Linked DNA regions of Saccharomyces cerevisiae S288C. The gene in region 2 interacts genetically with the main gene of each other region. Each region holds a gene or a part of one and is shown on either strand. Other genes may lie near its edges.

The links. A genetic interaction does not mean that the proteins touch.
Region 1: mutations in ACA1 (region 2) and HAL5 together harm fitness more than expected from each alone (negative genetic interaction), as found in Saccharomyces cerevisiae (3 studies listed by BioGRID).

What each region holds. Positions count from the first base shown.
Region 1 is NC_001142.9:106,394-113,396, reverse strand, and holds HAL5 (protein kinase HAL5), read left to right. Parts: upstream 1-3,935; coding exon 3,936-6,503; downstream 6,504-7,003. Other genes in the region: YJL163C (uncharacterized protein), read left to right, coding at 64-1,731; cAMP-dependent protein kinase catalytic subunit TPK1, read left to right, coding at 2,238-3,431; QCR8 (ubiquinol--cytochrome-c reductase subunit 8), read right to left, coding at 6,679-6,963.
Region 2 is NC_001137.3:237,760-245,657, forward strand, and holds ACA1 (Aca1p), read right to left. Parts: upstream 3,743-7,898; coding exon 2,273-3,742; downstream 1-2,272. Other genes in the region: ERG28 (Erg28p), read right to left, coding at 1-257; MEI4 (Mei4p), read right to left, coding at 701-1,864, 1,953-2,015; SPO73 (Spo73p), read left to right, coding at 5,421-5,852; putative AAA family ATPase SAP1, read right to left, coding at 6,051-7,898. UniProt on the Saccharomyces cerevisiae protein: Transcriptional activator of promoters containing ATF/CREB sites. Can independently stimulate transcription through ATF/CREB sites. Important for a variety of biological functions including growth on non-optimal carbon sources.

The DNA.
Region 1 (7,003 bases), on a different chromosome or scaffold from region 2:
AAACCCTAGTTCTTGCATTTCACGTATACATCTTCAAACCGTGCGAAGCAAAGGCGCAGAACAATGTCAAACGAGGATGAAACAACTCGTTTAATGTCTTCAGATGAGATGGACTATTTATTGGAAACGGCTGGGATCAACGCCTTGGAAGAAATCATTAGTCAAAATGACAGTACTGGAATAAATTTGGATACTAATGAAACAGCTCAGGACAGTAGCTATGACTCTATCCGGCGCTCCCCCAGTATTTTGAGTGTTGCCAAAAGCGTTGAGGGAGAGCATGGACGTAGAAAACTATTATGCCTTTACGGCCTTGTTATGATTATCTGTATTGCGGAGTCTATTTCTATGACTGCTACAATACCGTTGGTGATGGACAAGGTAGCGGAAGGAATTTCAGATGAGAATGGACATTATGATTCCGTGGCTGTACAGACAATAGTTTCCAGCATTTCTTCATCCACTATGATGATAGCAGGGGCAATCAGTATTTTCATGGCTGGTAAGTGGGGAGAATTATCCGATAGAATAGGAAGAGTGCGTGTTTTCAAATACATGAGCGGCATCAGGGTCATAGGGCTTCTTACGCACGTCTTTACCCTATCATCGAAAATGAAGTATCACAAATGGGCTATTGTTCTTACTGCGTGTATCGTACCATCATTCGGTGGCTTGTTTGCGCTAGTGGCGAATGGAAATAGTTACGTTTCAGATATAGTGAAAACTGAGCACAGAATGGTGACAATAGGAATAATGATGAGTTGTATATATGCCACTATGGGCGTAGGCCCAATGTTTGGGTCCTTTCTGGTGAAGTGGACTCATGGAAACGGGTTCATTCCTATTTACACATCAATAGCGTTTGTTATACTGGCGCTTATAATATGTGAGACAATCATGGTGGAACCGCGCCATGAAACCCAAATGGCCCATTCACAATCAACTTATACAAAGAGGAGAGAGAAACTAAGATCACAATCGGGTTCTGACGATGCAAGAAATTACCAATCCGTTACTTATGGAAAATTTCAAATAATGAGGTTAATGGACCTGCTCGCTCCAGTAAAAAAGTTATGGCTGAAGCCCGACAGTGCAGGGTCTTTAGTACCCCGGCATACCGTAATATTACTCATTGTACTCGATATACTATTTGTCTGTGGAACGACATCGTGTATGCCAGCATTGATTTTGTTTTCTACATATGAGTACAAATGGCATGCAGTAGAGCTAGGTTATTTCATATCGATACTGGGTATCGGAAGAGGTGTTGTGTTACTGGTCGTATCACCTACATTACTGTACACGCTAAAGAGGATTTATCAACACTTGAACCATTCGATAGACAAGATAGACATCTTTTGCATACAGTTTTCTATGATTGTTATAACACTGAGTCTCTTTGTCATGATACGATTTGGCGAGAAAACTCCCACATCCATGATAATATTCGCTCTTTTACAGGCATTGAGCGCGTTTTGTTCACCAACTTTGCAGTCTGGTATCATAAAGTACACCTCTAAGAAACATACAGGCGAGATGTTCGGAGCAATGGCTTTGGTAAGGTCCTGTGTTATGCTTGTCATCCCTCCCATCCTCCTTAAGCTATATGGAAGTACTGTCTCCGTTAATCCTAGTCTGTTTATGTATATACCGTTCTCAACAAGTATTGTTGCCATCTTGTTGACATTCTTCCTAAGAATTTACAAGAACCCTCCGCTGGACGGGCCTTAAAAACATTTACATACCGTATACACCACATATTTTTAGTTACTTGTTCGAAGCTGTGCTGCTATTCGTTCTTGCAAAGCCAGTGTCCTAACGACTTTGCTTATGACATGATTCAACATAGTGTTGTTGTGGTTTTTTCTACGTAATCATGATGATCTTTTTTTTCGCGCTATTAGGGGGGAGGGAAGGCGGGATCTGGTAAAAGTTTGACATAATAATCAAGGGGGATATCGTATCCCTTTACTTGAAAACTTGAAAAATATTCATCTACTATCTCTGGCCAGAAAAACGTGAGAATTTTTAGGTGCGAAACATCATAGAAGCTGCGATTGTATCCATCTAAGAGTTTTAATTTGATAAAGCTAAGGAATCTGACCCTATACTTTTTTTTTTGTTTGGCTTGCTTGCATTTTCAATCGGCTTCAAAGGTAGCACAGAAAGTAGTGTTCTCTTAGCTTAAGCAGTGCATGAATTATAGCTGATTGTGTGAAAGAATCTTTTTTTTGGGTATGTCGACTGAAGAACAAAATGGAGGTGGTCAAAAGTCTCTAGATGATAGACAAGGTGAGGAATCACAAAAAGGTGAGACTAGTGAAAGGGAAACAACAGCCACAGAGAGCGGTAACGAAAGTAAGTCTGTAGAAAAAGAGGGTGGAGAAACCCAAGAAAAACCGAAGCAGCCACATGTCACTTATTACAATGAGGAGCAGTATAAACAGTTTATTGCCCAAGCGAGAGTTACAAGTGGGAAGTATAGTTTACAAGACTTTCAGATATTAAGGACACTGGGTACGGGTTCTTTTGGTAGGGTCCATTTGATTAGATCAAGACATAATGGCAGATACTACGCCATGAAAGTTTTGAAAAAGGAAATCGTGGTAAGATTGAAACAGGTGGAGCATACCAACGACGAGCGATTGATGCTTTCTATCGTAACACATCCGTTTATTATTAGAATGTGGGGGACTTTCCAAGATGCTCAGCAAATTTTCATGATTATGGATTATATTGAAGGTGGAGAATTGTTTTCTTTGTTAAGGAAATCCCAAAGATTTCCCAACCCAGTTGCTAAATTTTACGCAGCGGAAGTTTGTTTAGCTTTGGAGTACTTGCATAGCAAGGACATTATTTATAGGGATTTGAAACCGGAAAATATCTTGCTTGATAAAAACGGGCATATAAAGATAACAGATTTCGGGTTTGCCAAATACGTTCCTGACGTCACATATACATTATGCGGTACTCCCGACTACATAGCACCCGAGGTCGTTAGTACTAAACCATATAATAAATCTATCGATTGGTGGAGTTTCGGTATTCTGATTTACGAAATGCTAGCAGGATACACGCCATTTTACGACTCTAACACGATGAAAACCTATGAGAAAATCTTGAATGCCGAATTGAGATTTCCACCATTTTTCAACGAAGATGTAAAGGACCTGTTGAGTAGATTGATCACAAGAGACTTAAGTCAAAGACTAGGTAATTTACAAAATGGTACAGAAGATGTCAAAAACCACCCCTGGTTCAAAGAAGTTGTCTGGGAAAAATTATTATCTAGAAACATAGAAACGCCGTATGAACCGCCCATTCAACAGGGACAAGGTGACACCTCACAGTTCGATAAGTACCCGGAAGAAGACATCAACTACGGTGTTCAAGGTGAAGACCCATATGCTGATCTTTTCCGGGACTTCTAATGACTAATGTTTTGTTGTATTTTCCTCTCGTATCTATATTTTTTTTTTTTCATATTTTTTTCCCTCTTTTCTACATAACAACTATCCTTCGAAAACGAAATTTCAACCCCTGTATAGTTACTACGGAGATGGAACGGCGTTCACTGTTCTTGTAGATTGCATACATGATGTTATCGAGGCGTATTCCTACCATTAAAAGGGCTTTTATTCTACGCTTCTGTCTTTGATTTTCTACTTTGCTCGCCGCGCCACTTTCGAAAGCTTGCATCATGAAATGAAGGATTTTGCATATCGATTTTTTTTTTACGTGAGCCCCTTGGTATAAACCAAATAAAGGGCAATTGGTGGCTCCAAACAAGTCGGAATCTCCATTCTATACGTGTATATTTTAGGAAGCATTATAGTCTACGAAAAGATCCATTCTTTCCATCCATTTACTTTTAGAATACAAAGGAGATAGAGAAACTTGCTAAATAAAAAAAAAATTTTGAAAAAATAAAAACAATGGGAGATGAGAAGCTTTCACGCCACACATCTTTGAAGAGGGCCAGATCGCTCTCCGAATCCATTAAGGGTCTATTTAAGCCTTCAGGGATATCAGGCAGTAATAATGCTGCGGCTCCTTCATCTCGTCCCGGTCAGGACCAAGCACATTCTCATCAAACAGCAAGAATAATAACTAGCAACGTATCTTCCCCGTCTATATCCCCCGTACATAGCCCTGTTCTACAAGCGGCTCCTAAGCATCACAAACTGGGCGTCCCTAATATTGCAAAACTCTCGTTGTCACCTAGTAGGGAACCATCTTTGAATTCAGAAAATGAAATGTTTTCACAAGAATCTTTCATAAGTGAAAAAGATGAAGATGAAGCCAATTTGTTAGAGAGAGAGGATCTTCAAAATAAAAAGGAAGAGAAAGCTCGTGCAAAACATGTACGTTCCAAGGAAGCTTATGTGCCTCATCACCGCTATACAGTTGGTAGCGATGAGGTTGAAAGACAACCAAGGGAACGGCTGAAAAACTTCCCACAAAACGCAGGTTCTTCAAACCCTGCAAATAGTAATGCCAACCATGTTTTGGATCAGGAAAATAACTTTTCTATTGATGCTATGCTTGATTATGACGAAGAATCAAAACTTAGAAGGAGAAACAGTCTGGGCGTACGTAATCATAGCAATCGCACAAGAAGTAGGAAGAACAGTTTGTCCACACCAAGGTCACCACCAATGAAAAATGGAAATGGTGGAATGAATTCAAATGCCACCAACAATGTTGGTAATGGTACAGGAAATAGAATATACATGAGGGGAAGAAATCACTCAGACTCTATCAGTGCTTCCAGCTTACCGAAATTTCAAGAAATCGAATGTAAATGTATTTTGGATTTAGGTCATTTCAAAGTCTTTGAAAACGGATACCACGAACATTCTTTGAGAGTGCTGCCAATTATTACAAACAATAAAAATGTGGATAGTGGCGATGAAAAGGATGCTGACGCTTCTGTAAACAGCGGCGATGATGGTGACAATGACAGTGAGGCAAATATGCATAAACAAAAATCTGTGTTTTCTTTAAGTGGATTATTCAAATCTCATAAGGATGGAAACCAACAACAGCAGCAACAGCAGCAACAAGAAGAAAACGGCGAACAAATCAATCTAGAAAAAGCATTTTCAATAATACCATCCCAGAGATTCATCAAATCGCAGACTTTAAAGAAATCGAGAACGAGTAACCTTAAAAATGGCAATAATGATGAATTGATGAAAAACGATGGTAAAAATATTCCGCAAATCGTGAATCCTAACGCTGCTGTAGGTGTTGAAGAGTTGAAGCTAATCAATGCATTATCGGAAAAAATACGAAAGGGCCTTAAAAGTGAAAATACAAAAGGCAACAATGGCGAAGGCAGAAGCAATAGCAATAAACAGGAGGATTCTGATGACACAGAGGGCAAGGCAGGAACAACCAATGACGATACATCTCATAAACCTTGTTCACAAAAATACGGAAAATCTATTGGGGTCGTCGGTGCAGGTGCATACGGGGTGGTCAAAATTTGCGCAAGGTGCAAGACTGCTAAAGATGTCCTACCATACAGTACCTACTCTAATGGAAAAAAACTATTCTTTGCCGTCAAAGAGCTGAAGCCCAAGCCAGGTGACCAAATTGATAAATTTTGCACGAGATTAACCTCTGAGTTCATTATTGGACACTCACTGAGCCATCCGCATTTTGAGGCAAATGCGATGATAGCAGGAAATGTTTCAAGAACCACTCCACCAAAACATGTCTTCAATGCCCCAAACATTTTGAAAATTTTGGACCTAATGGAATATAGCAATTCCTTCGTAGAAGTGATGGAATTTTGTGCTTCAGGTGATTTATATTCGTTGCTAACAAGGAATAACATCTCAAATGAATCGAATAACGGGAGTTCAAGATTGATCCAAACTGTTAAAGAAGGTTCTGGGAGTCCGTTGCACCCATTAGAAGCAGACTGTTTTATGAAACAGCTTTTGAATGGTGTTCAATACATGCATGATCATGGTATAGCACACTGTGATTTGAAACCCGAAAATATCCTTTTCCAACCTAATGGGTTGTTAAAAATTTGTGATTTTGGTACTAGTTCAGTTTTTCAGACTGCCTGGGAGAAACACGTCCACTTCCAGAGTGGAGCCATGGGTTCAGAGCCATATGTGGCACCTGAAGAATTTATAAGGGATGCAGAATACGATCCGCGTCTGGTAGATTGTTGGAGTTGTGGTATTGTTTACTGTACAATGGTCATGGGACAGTATCTTTGGAAAATCGCCATTCCTGAAAAGGATTCTCTTTTTAAATCATTTCTCAGTGAAATTAAAGATGATGGACAGTTTTATCTATTTGAGGAATTAAGACATGTTAGTAGCGAACTGAATAGGTTGAGGAAAATTGCACTATATAGAACGTTCCAGGTCGACCCCACGAAGAGAATCACCATTGAACAATTACTACAAAGCTCCTGGATGAGGAAAACAAAATGCTGTGTAGTTTATAGACACTTACATACCAAGGTTAGTAAATAAAGATATACAAAACAAAAAATGCTTAAGTATTTATTATTACTGATACTGTAAGTAAATAAATAGACTGACTGAATAAATATATGGGGGTTATTTGCTCTTGTTTTATAAACAGAATATATATGTAAGTTTTTAGAAGATCAAAAGATCGATGTAATGTAGAGGCATGGAAACAATATTAAACATTAACTCTTTCCAGCTCTTCTCTACCAGCTTTGCTGTACAGAAATTCATTATACTCGTTACCGTTCTTCCACCAGTACCAATAAATTCCCGCAGGTATTAATACATATAGAAATTGAGACTTAAATCTTCTAAAACTATTGAATACAGCGTTATGGAAAATACCTTGTAATGGCTTTTGAGCATATGGAGACACAGCATATGAGGTTATACCTTTTTGCTTTGGACCACCCATGTGACCCCACCATCCCATGTAAGTTTTACCGCTTGGAGGACCCATTATCGTAGAAGTTTTTGTGTAGTGTTTTGTTGATTATTTG
Region 2 (7,898 bases):
AAGTACATAGCCCCATAGAATCTGATAACACAGGAAATAAAGGTCCAAGTACCGAAAGTTCTTGCACTCAAATGGGTTGTTTCAGTGGGTTTTCTTTCGTAGACTTTACGTGTCAATTCTAAACCAGAAACGTAAGTCTGGATAGAATTGAAGACTGATACAATGGAAATGAAAAGTAACCATTTTGGTAAGTAACCTTTTGGCATTGCTGCCAAGGTGGTCTTGGTTGTAGTTATTACGTCTTGTAGGCTGAACATTATCTGATACTTTAGTGTATTTGAATCCTTCGATACTATGGTCTAGCTAGTGTCAAGAATATAAAAACCTGAAATTAGTCAATGCGTTTACGTCAAAAATAGTAGCAATAGTAAAGCAAAACAACAGGCTTGTTCAGCTTAGTTTTATATACGGGGGTAGAGAATACAATGGATCGTACCTTTTTTTTTGTTTCCTGTTCGTTCCGTCCCCGAACGAAAAAATCATAAAATAGAAGTTTCCTATCGGTAATACCGTAAAGTTTAATTCAGTTCGTATAAGATTAGGTTAATCATGGGCAAGTCCGGAAGAAGCGTTTTAATGTAGGTCTGTTGGGGAAGATGTTGTGTTCACTGTAATTTTCAACTGAAGTTGTTGTCCCCGAAATGAAAGAGCTTTCGATATTTTTGTGTTTTATAATGCGCCTCCTACTGCAAAAGAAAAATTAAATGTTTTCTGTCTCATTGAACCATCTTGACAATCGAAAGCGCGCTATCAAATTTCTTTCGGCAGTAATTAATAAGGCCGCCTGTATATATTTCCTTTTCTTCTGAAGCGATATTTCATGAGCCGGAAATTTTTCCAGGAAAGGTTTTAAGTGCTGCCATTCAATGCTTTCAAATGTCTCGAGCAATGATAGAATAACTATCTTGAGTATTTTCAATAGACCCCCTAACTCTTTTTCTGGGACACCGCTTATTACACTGTAAAAGTTCTTTAAGTAGGTTTTCTTCAAACTCAATTCTCTTTCGAGGTATACTCGACAGTACGCCTTTTTCCGGTTGATGCATATTAGTTTATGCTTCGATACAAATCTAATAAGTACATGTATCAGACTTTCGATGATGATAAGTATGTGTTCAATTAATTTCAGAACAGATACGTATTTTAATATCTGCGGTTCAAATGTTTGGTTTGTCTTGATTTTGATGAGTTGAATGTTAATAATAGAGTAAATAAGGGTAAAATGCAACGAACACAAGCGCTTGTAGTCAACTTTATCACATAAATGTTTGCCATCTCCCTGGTCGTAAAAGTTTTGAAGCCATTTTGGATCGTTTTGGTTCTTCTTCAATAAAATTCTATTAAACAGAAACTTGGCGATGAAATTGAAAACATGAACGTCTATCAGTGTCCTCTTAAAAGAAGAATCAGAATCTATGCGATGCGAATAATGAGAAACTAACAAGATTTGGAGTGTTTGAAACACTTGCGATAACCCTCTAAAGTCAATTTCTTTTGTTTTTAAGCTCAGGATTTTTAGCAGAATTTTATATCTCGGTAAAAACCAGTTGTTTATATCAGCAGTTGATACATCTTTGCTAAATGATTGCAGCTCCTTTAAACCAACTGCATCTTCGAAGCTTTTGTACTTATTCTGGCAAAGGAAATTGTATATAGGTTCCAGATGAGCAAACAGTGATTTATTATTCAAAAATCCATTTTCGAAAGGCGCAACCCATTTGTATATATGTTTTGAGTTTTCCCGAGGATTTATTTTTAAATTTTTTTCACTCTTGAGAGCACCTACATCTTCGACATCTCCTTTCTTTCTTGAAAGTGCCCTCTTCCACAACGTAGGATTCCTGGATTGAATTAAAGCAAAACACTGTCATAGATAATATTCGAGGAGATTACACCTCTTACTAAAAGTTAGTAAAGAGAAAATAGGTTAAGGATGTGACAATTTCACGTACGATTATCCAGTCAACTTCCGATGTTTCCTTTTGTTCCATATCTTCCAGTTTGCCTCTACTCATGTCCTTACTCTTCTAAAAGATTATTTAATGAAACTGTTTCACAACTACAAGATGTTTGTTATGTTTTCTTTTACAAGTCGGAAACATTTAGCCGCCCAGCAATATATATGACTCCGAAAGAAAATGAAAGGAAATACATACATAGTAAAATAAATCGTTTAAACATAAATAATCGTACAGAGGAAAACATTAAGGAAGGAGAGTCAAACTAATGTACTGGGAATTTGGATCTCCCATAAGAAGTATGCGCAATACTTTTATTCATCATATAGACTGGAGCTGCGTATCATTTCTTCAATCATTTTCAGAAACCCGTTAACATCACTATCCTTGTTTTGAAGGCTTTGATAACTATTATTACCACCATTAATTGTGCATTCTTGCATGTGCAACCTCGAAATTTTCTTCATTTTTTGAACCAATTTTTCGTAATTTTCAATTTTTTTCTTCATCATTGTGTTTTCTTTGCTTATTTGGTCAAATTCCCTTTGAAGTTGTAATTGTGACATTTTCTTTCTCTGTCGACACTTGGAAGCGGCAATTCTGTTTCGTTCTAGTAGCCTTGCACGCTTCCAAGCTTTAGCACCGTCTTTCAAGCCTGCAGTATTGTTCTCTATTTTTTGGGGTCTAGCTTCCTGCTTTATTTGGAAGGTTGCTGTAGTGTGCATAGAGGAGAAGGGCGCGGTATGTACGTCTTTCTCACTATTAATATTGTTTTTCAGTGCAGAAGTGGCATCCTTGTATTGTGGTTTTGAGTTGGCATGTGTTAAATTGACATCAGGGCATTTCGATTCGTATGGAAGGCTGCTTGAAATATTCAACTCGGCATTTTGGCAGGAATTATTAACAGTGTGGTGATTAACGCCATGGGAAATTGAAGAATGGACGGATTGATTTTCGATATTATGATCATTAATGTTTTGGCAGGAAGAAGAAGAGGAAACGGAAGAATTAGAGGCTGGAGTACATGGATGCACATTCAATTGAGCGTTTTTCCATGCCTTAGTTTGCATTTGAGCTTGTAATCGGAGTTGCATGTTGATGTAAGCCTGATTCATTGTGGAATCGCCAGATGGGATAGAAGGCGTGGCAGAAGGAATGTCACAAGTGGCTGCTACTGCGGGTATGTTAAGCTTTATATTGCTATCATACGGGGTCATTGCAGCGTAGATATTCTTGCTACCTGTTTGAGGTGCAGCTTCGGGTATGACTGTAGCTTGTTCGTGTGGTTGTGGCACGTTTTGCAATTCGTTCGAGCTAAAGCTTGGGTATATGGCTGCGCTTGGATTTGCCACCTGTTGAGGATTGGGATTCTGTTGCGCCTTAGACGATAGGATCGGAGGCTGACAGTTGTAAAGATTTTCAACCGTTTCTAAGTCTTCGCCTAATTGACTAATCTGACCATTGGAGATAGATATGCGTCTTTTGTACACGGGCTGATCAAACGCTGGTAAAGAACTTTGAAAAATGGGAGGGTTGGTAATGGGAAGATGGCTGATGTCGACGCCAAAGGGTTGAAACATTGGACCCAGGTTTTCTTGCACGCTACGGTCATGCAAACTGTTTTGGTGATGAAAATTGTAGGCAGAATCCACAAGACCAGGACCCGATGGTTGTTTGTATATAAGCTCCTTGTTTGAAGATAGAAAATCTGTATATAAGAGTGGGTTCTGCCTTCCATCTAGGAAAGAATCTGGACTTGTAGCAAAATTATGCTTATAGTCCATACTTTATTTGGTTCCTTAGTCGTTACCTGGTGTTATTCCAGTACTATTAATATAACTCAGTACAATTAGCTGCCGTGAAAAAAAAAAAATAATAAGAATACAGTTTCTGCGCTTTTAGTCGGTAAGCACTCAGATTGAGAGATCTAGATTTACTATATTTTAATAATAACCAGTTAAAGCAGATTTTGAAGATGAACTAACATAAAAAAAATTGATGAATTATGTAACATAATCTTCTGTACCACCAGGGTAAATCGCCAAAGAATATCTGCATCTAAGAACAAAAGAAAATGGTGCCCTAAATATCTTTCAGATGAAAAACTAATTATATATCACTACTAAAAAAAGCCAGAAAAAGAAAAAAAGTAAAATAGAAAATAGAAAATAGAAAATAGAAAAATAGAAATTAAAATTAAGAGCATTTTAAAATTAAGTCTACAAAGTAATACTTGGCATATTGCTTAACTCCTCACGCAGAGCCTTAGCGTACCACTATTTTATCTGATACCACAAAAAGCTGCGCTTTGATGGCCCAACGGGGATATAATCGCGCCACTGCTACTCATGTGCTGCAAACTAACAGTGCCAGCAGAAGCGAGCATTGAAAAACTAAACTTTGCCTTGTTCTGCTTACTTCATGCAGAGGTACAGCTTCGATGTCCTAAGGTTGAACATCATCTTGCTTCGATTTCGGTAGTAATCATTTTGCCTGCACGCCATTGTATGAATCTCGTGCCACTCCCTTTTTAACTCCGAGATACAACTTTCCGTGGGGAAAAGTACCGTAGTATTGTAATTTCGAGAGCATCTTTACGGTAATTGCCCCTCCACACCCAGACGTTACACAACCCTTAGTAAACAGCTGCGGAAAAAAAGTGTGCCTACGCACTGTACGACTCCTGATTGATTCCTTCATTAGCACTGACTGGCTTACGGTGCACATAAGTTATTAAGAGCAGTTTAATTCAGTTGCTGAATAGTCACGTTGATGAGCACGAATACCTGAAACACCAACGGTAATGAATCAATTGGCCTAGCGCATCGTTGTGTGCTTGGGTGTGCCGCACAATGGCAACCAAATACTGCTCGTTCCTGCACTTCGAAAGAAAAGCAGCCAAAAGAAAACGCGTTTTCCTTTGCGAGCGCTGGTTTGTTCCTCAGTTTGATAGAGGCGTTCAATTGGCAATTTGGGCACTAACACCGATGATAACAAGATATCTTGACTTTGACCTCTGATATTGAGGCGTTCCAACCAATAAGAGGGGCTGACGGTTGAAAATAAGGGTAAAAGAGAGCTATTCGGGTTGGGTCGCAGATTAACTTAGAAAACATGTACATGCAAATGTTGTTTTTTACGTACAGAAAGAGGCTGATGGAACCAAAGGAAGCAATAATTTGCACCTTGATATTTTGCGCTTTCTGCTTTTGAAACCTTATTATATGCCTTTACATATACTGTCACGCGACATTTTCACCTTCTACAGTGTTTAATGAAAATCTGGCTTGTGTGCATTATCTTTTTTGTGAAAGTTTATCTCCGCTTAAACAAAGCGATTGAATCTTGTCTACGTAATTGGGCTCGTGGGACCAAAAGGCTACTATTTTCCAGGAAATTGAAGACTTTGCAATCGTAACAAGGTTTCTTTCATCGTTAAAATACAATCATACATAGAGATATATGGGCAAAAACCATTTCTTGAAGGATTTCTCTGCTTTACCGGAGGACGTACTCATAGAAAACGAGAGAGGCATAACTTTACTTGGTTACCCACTATTTTCTCCCAAGATTTTACTGCCTCACGTTGACCCACCACAATTTCAAAGACTAAACACTGAAAATGGCTCGTTAATTGCCCTGTCGAAAAATACTATATCGAACTTCATAGAACTGTATCCTATCGATCTGAGTACTGAACGCACTGCAGGCAGTAGCAGTTCACAGATGACAAAGTGGTTCGTACTGATGGATTACAAGGAAAAGTACGATATTGACGATCAAGGATGGTGTTATAGCTGGAATTTCAATAACTCTAGGTGGAAATCGAAAAATGGCTTGGTGAGAAGAAGGGTCTGGGTAAGACTACCTACGACCAGTCATGGATTAGATTAGTAATAGTTTACGCTAATATTAAATTGTTTAACAAACTAAGTAGTCAAAAAAAAGAAAAAAAAAAAAAAAAAAAAGAAAAGGTGACATTATGCAGAACATATTTTATCGATCCGCTTATGTGCACACAGTTTGTCCAGCTAGGCTAGAATATTATTTATTATTACCATTATTATTATATTATTATTATTATTATCATCATCATGAACCTGATGATCCGAATTGTGAAGCCCACTTTTCGTACTTCACTAATCCGTCCTGGGATACAGAGGGCTTGATATACACTAAACTGTTCTTAAAATCCACAAGGCCTATGGGTCTTATCATCTCCCTCTCTGTTTCTAATAACTTATCACCCAGATCTCGTAGTGGGCCCATGGCAGCATCCTTCGCTAAAGACGTTATATCACTTCCTGAATAGCCCTCAGTAATCTTTACCAGTTCATCAAAATCTGATTCGGTTAACGTGTGCTTTTGATGGGAAAGAAGCTTCTTAAATTGAACGTGTCTGGTCTGGTCCTCTGGTAATGGGATATATTGTCTTCTCACAAATCTTCTCCTTGCAGCCTCATCAATAGACCATGGTAAGTTTGTCGCGGCAAGTACCAGTACCCTTGTATCATCTTCGTCGCCATTGGTGTCAGAATTGTTAGTGTTACTTTTGTTTGAACCAGCCGCTGCGCTGGACAAGGATGACCACTGAACAAGAAATTCATTCTTTATCCTTCGGCTTGACTCATTTTCATTTTCGTTATTCCTACTACCCATGATAGAGTCAATTTCATCAACAAATATTATAGAAGGTGACAATTTTTTGGCAATTGCAAATAGTGCCCTCACTAATTTTTCACTTTCACCCAAGTATTTAGATGTCAAACTGGAAGCACTAATAGAGAAAAAGGTGGAGTGCGACTCTGTAGCTACAGCTCTCGCTAGCATTGTTTTACCTGTACCTGGTGGTCCAAATAAGAGCATCCCCCTGACTGGTTCACGTAACCCCCTGAATAAGTCTGGTCTCAAAAACGGATAGACAACTGCTTCCTTCAAAGAATATTTTGCACTTTCTAAACCAGCAATATCATCCCAATGAACTTCATCTCCGTGCACTACGATTTCGGCAAAAATTTGCTTTGCAGCTTGCCTATCTACACCTTGTAAACTATCAATAATTTCATCTTCTAAAATCTCCCTCAGGACTTTCTTGTCTATTTCAGGCTCTTCTCTTTGCTCATTTAGGGAAGTGGCATGTTCAGTGGCATCTTCTGTTCCAACATCTTCTATTTTTGGAGAACCGATTTTTTTTTGTGCTGGTATTTTTCGATTCGTTTTACTCATAGACGTGGTTTGATTTTTCGATGGCTTCTTATTCTGGGATGCACCATGCGAGTATGGTTTTGAGTTACTTACAGGTCTGGAAGGATGGCTACTCGTTTTCTTCGAACTGGAATTTGGGACTTTCGCCGTTTTGGATTTCAAAATGGGGTGACTCTTCTTCGTAGTGTTTAATGCGGGGTTACTCGCAACCTTTTTGCTGTTCAGAACTCTCTTAGCAGCCATTGCAGCCGTTTTGGGTTTTTGAATTACTGAATTTGGAACAGTCAGAGAAGAGGTCGGAGACGATGCATTGGATTTGATGATTGGTTTTGTATTACTTTTTGATCTTGTAATAAATGTTGGCGTTGATTTAGTGATAAGAGTGGGCGTTGATTTGGTACCCTTTAAGTATGGTACGTGATTATTCTTCATTAATTTTGATATTTGAGGATTCCTAATCTTTGATGAATCCATAGTAGTAGAAGTTTCTAAACTATGTGGCTTTAGAGCGCCAGTGCTGGACGCTCTATCGACATTTAATAAAGGAGGTGGAGGTAATGAAGGAAGAGCAGGGGCGGTAGTCGGCAGGGACTGTATGCATGATCCGGGAACATTTTCTGAAGAACTTACACTCTTATTACTGGACGTAGAAGAAGTAACAGACAAGTCAGACATTTGCTGTTGAATTGCTTCTAACGTTTTTATACGTCGTCTTTCCTCTTTTTCTTCTTCTTC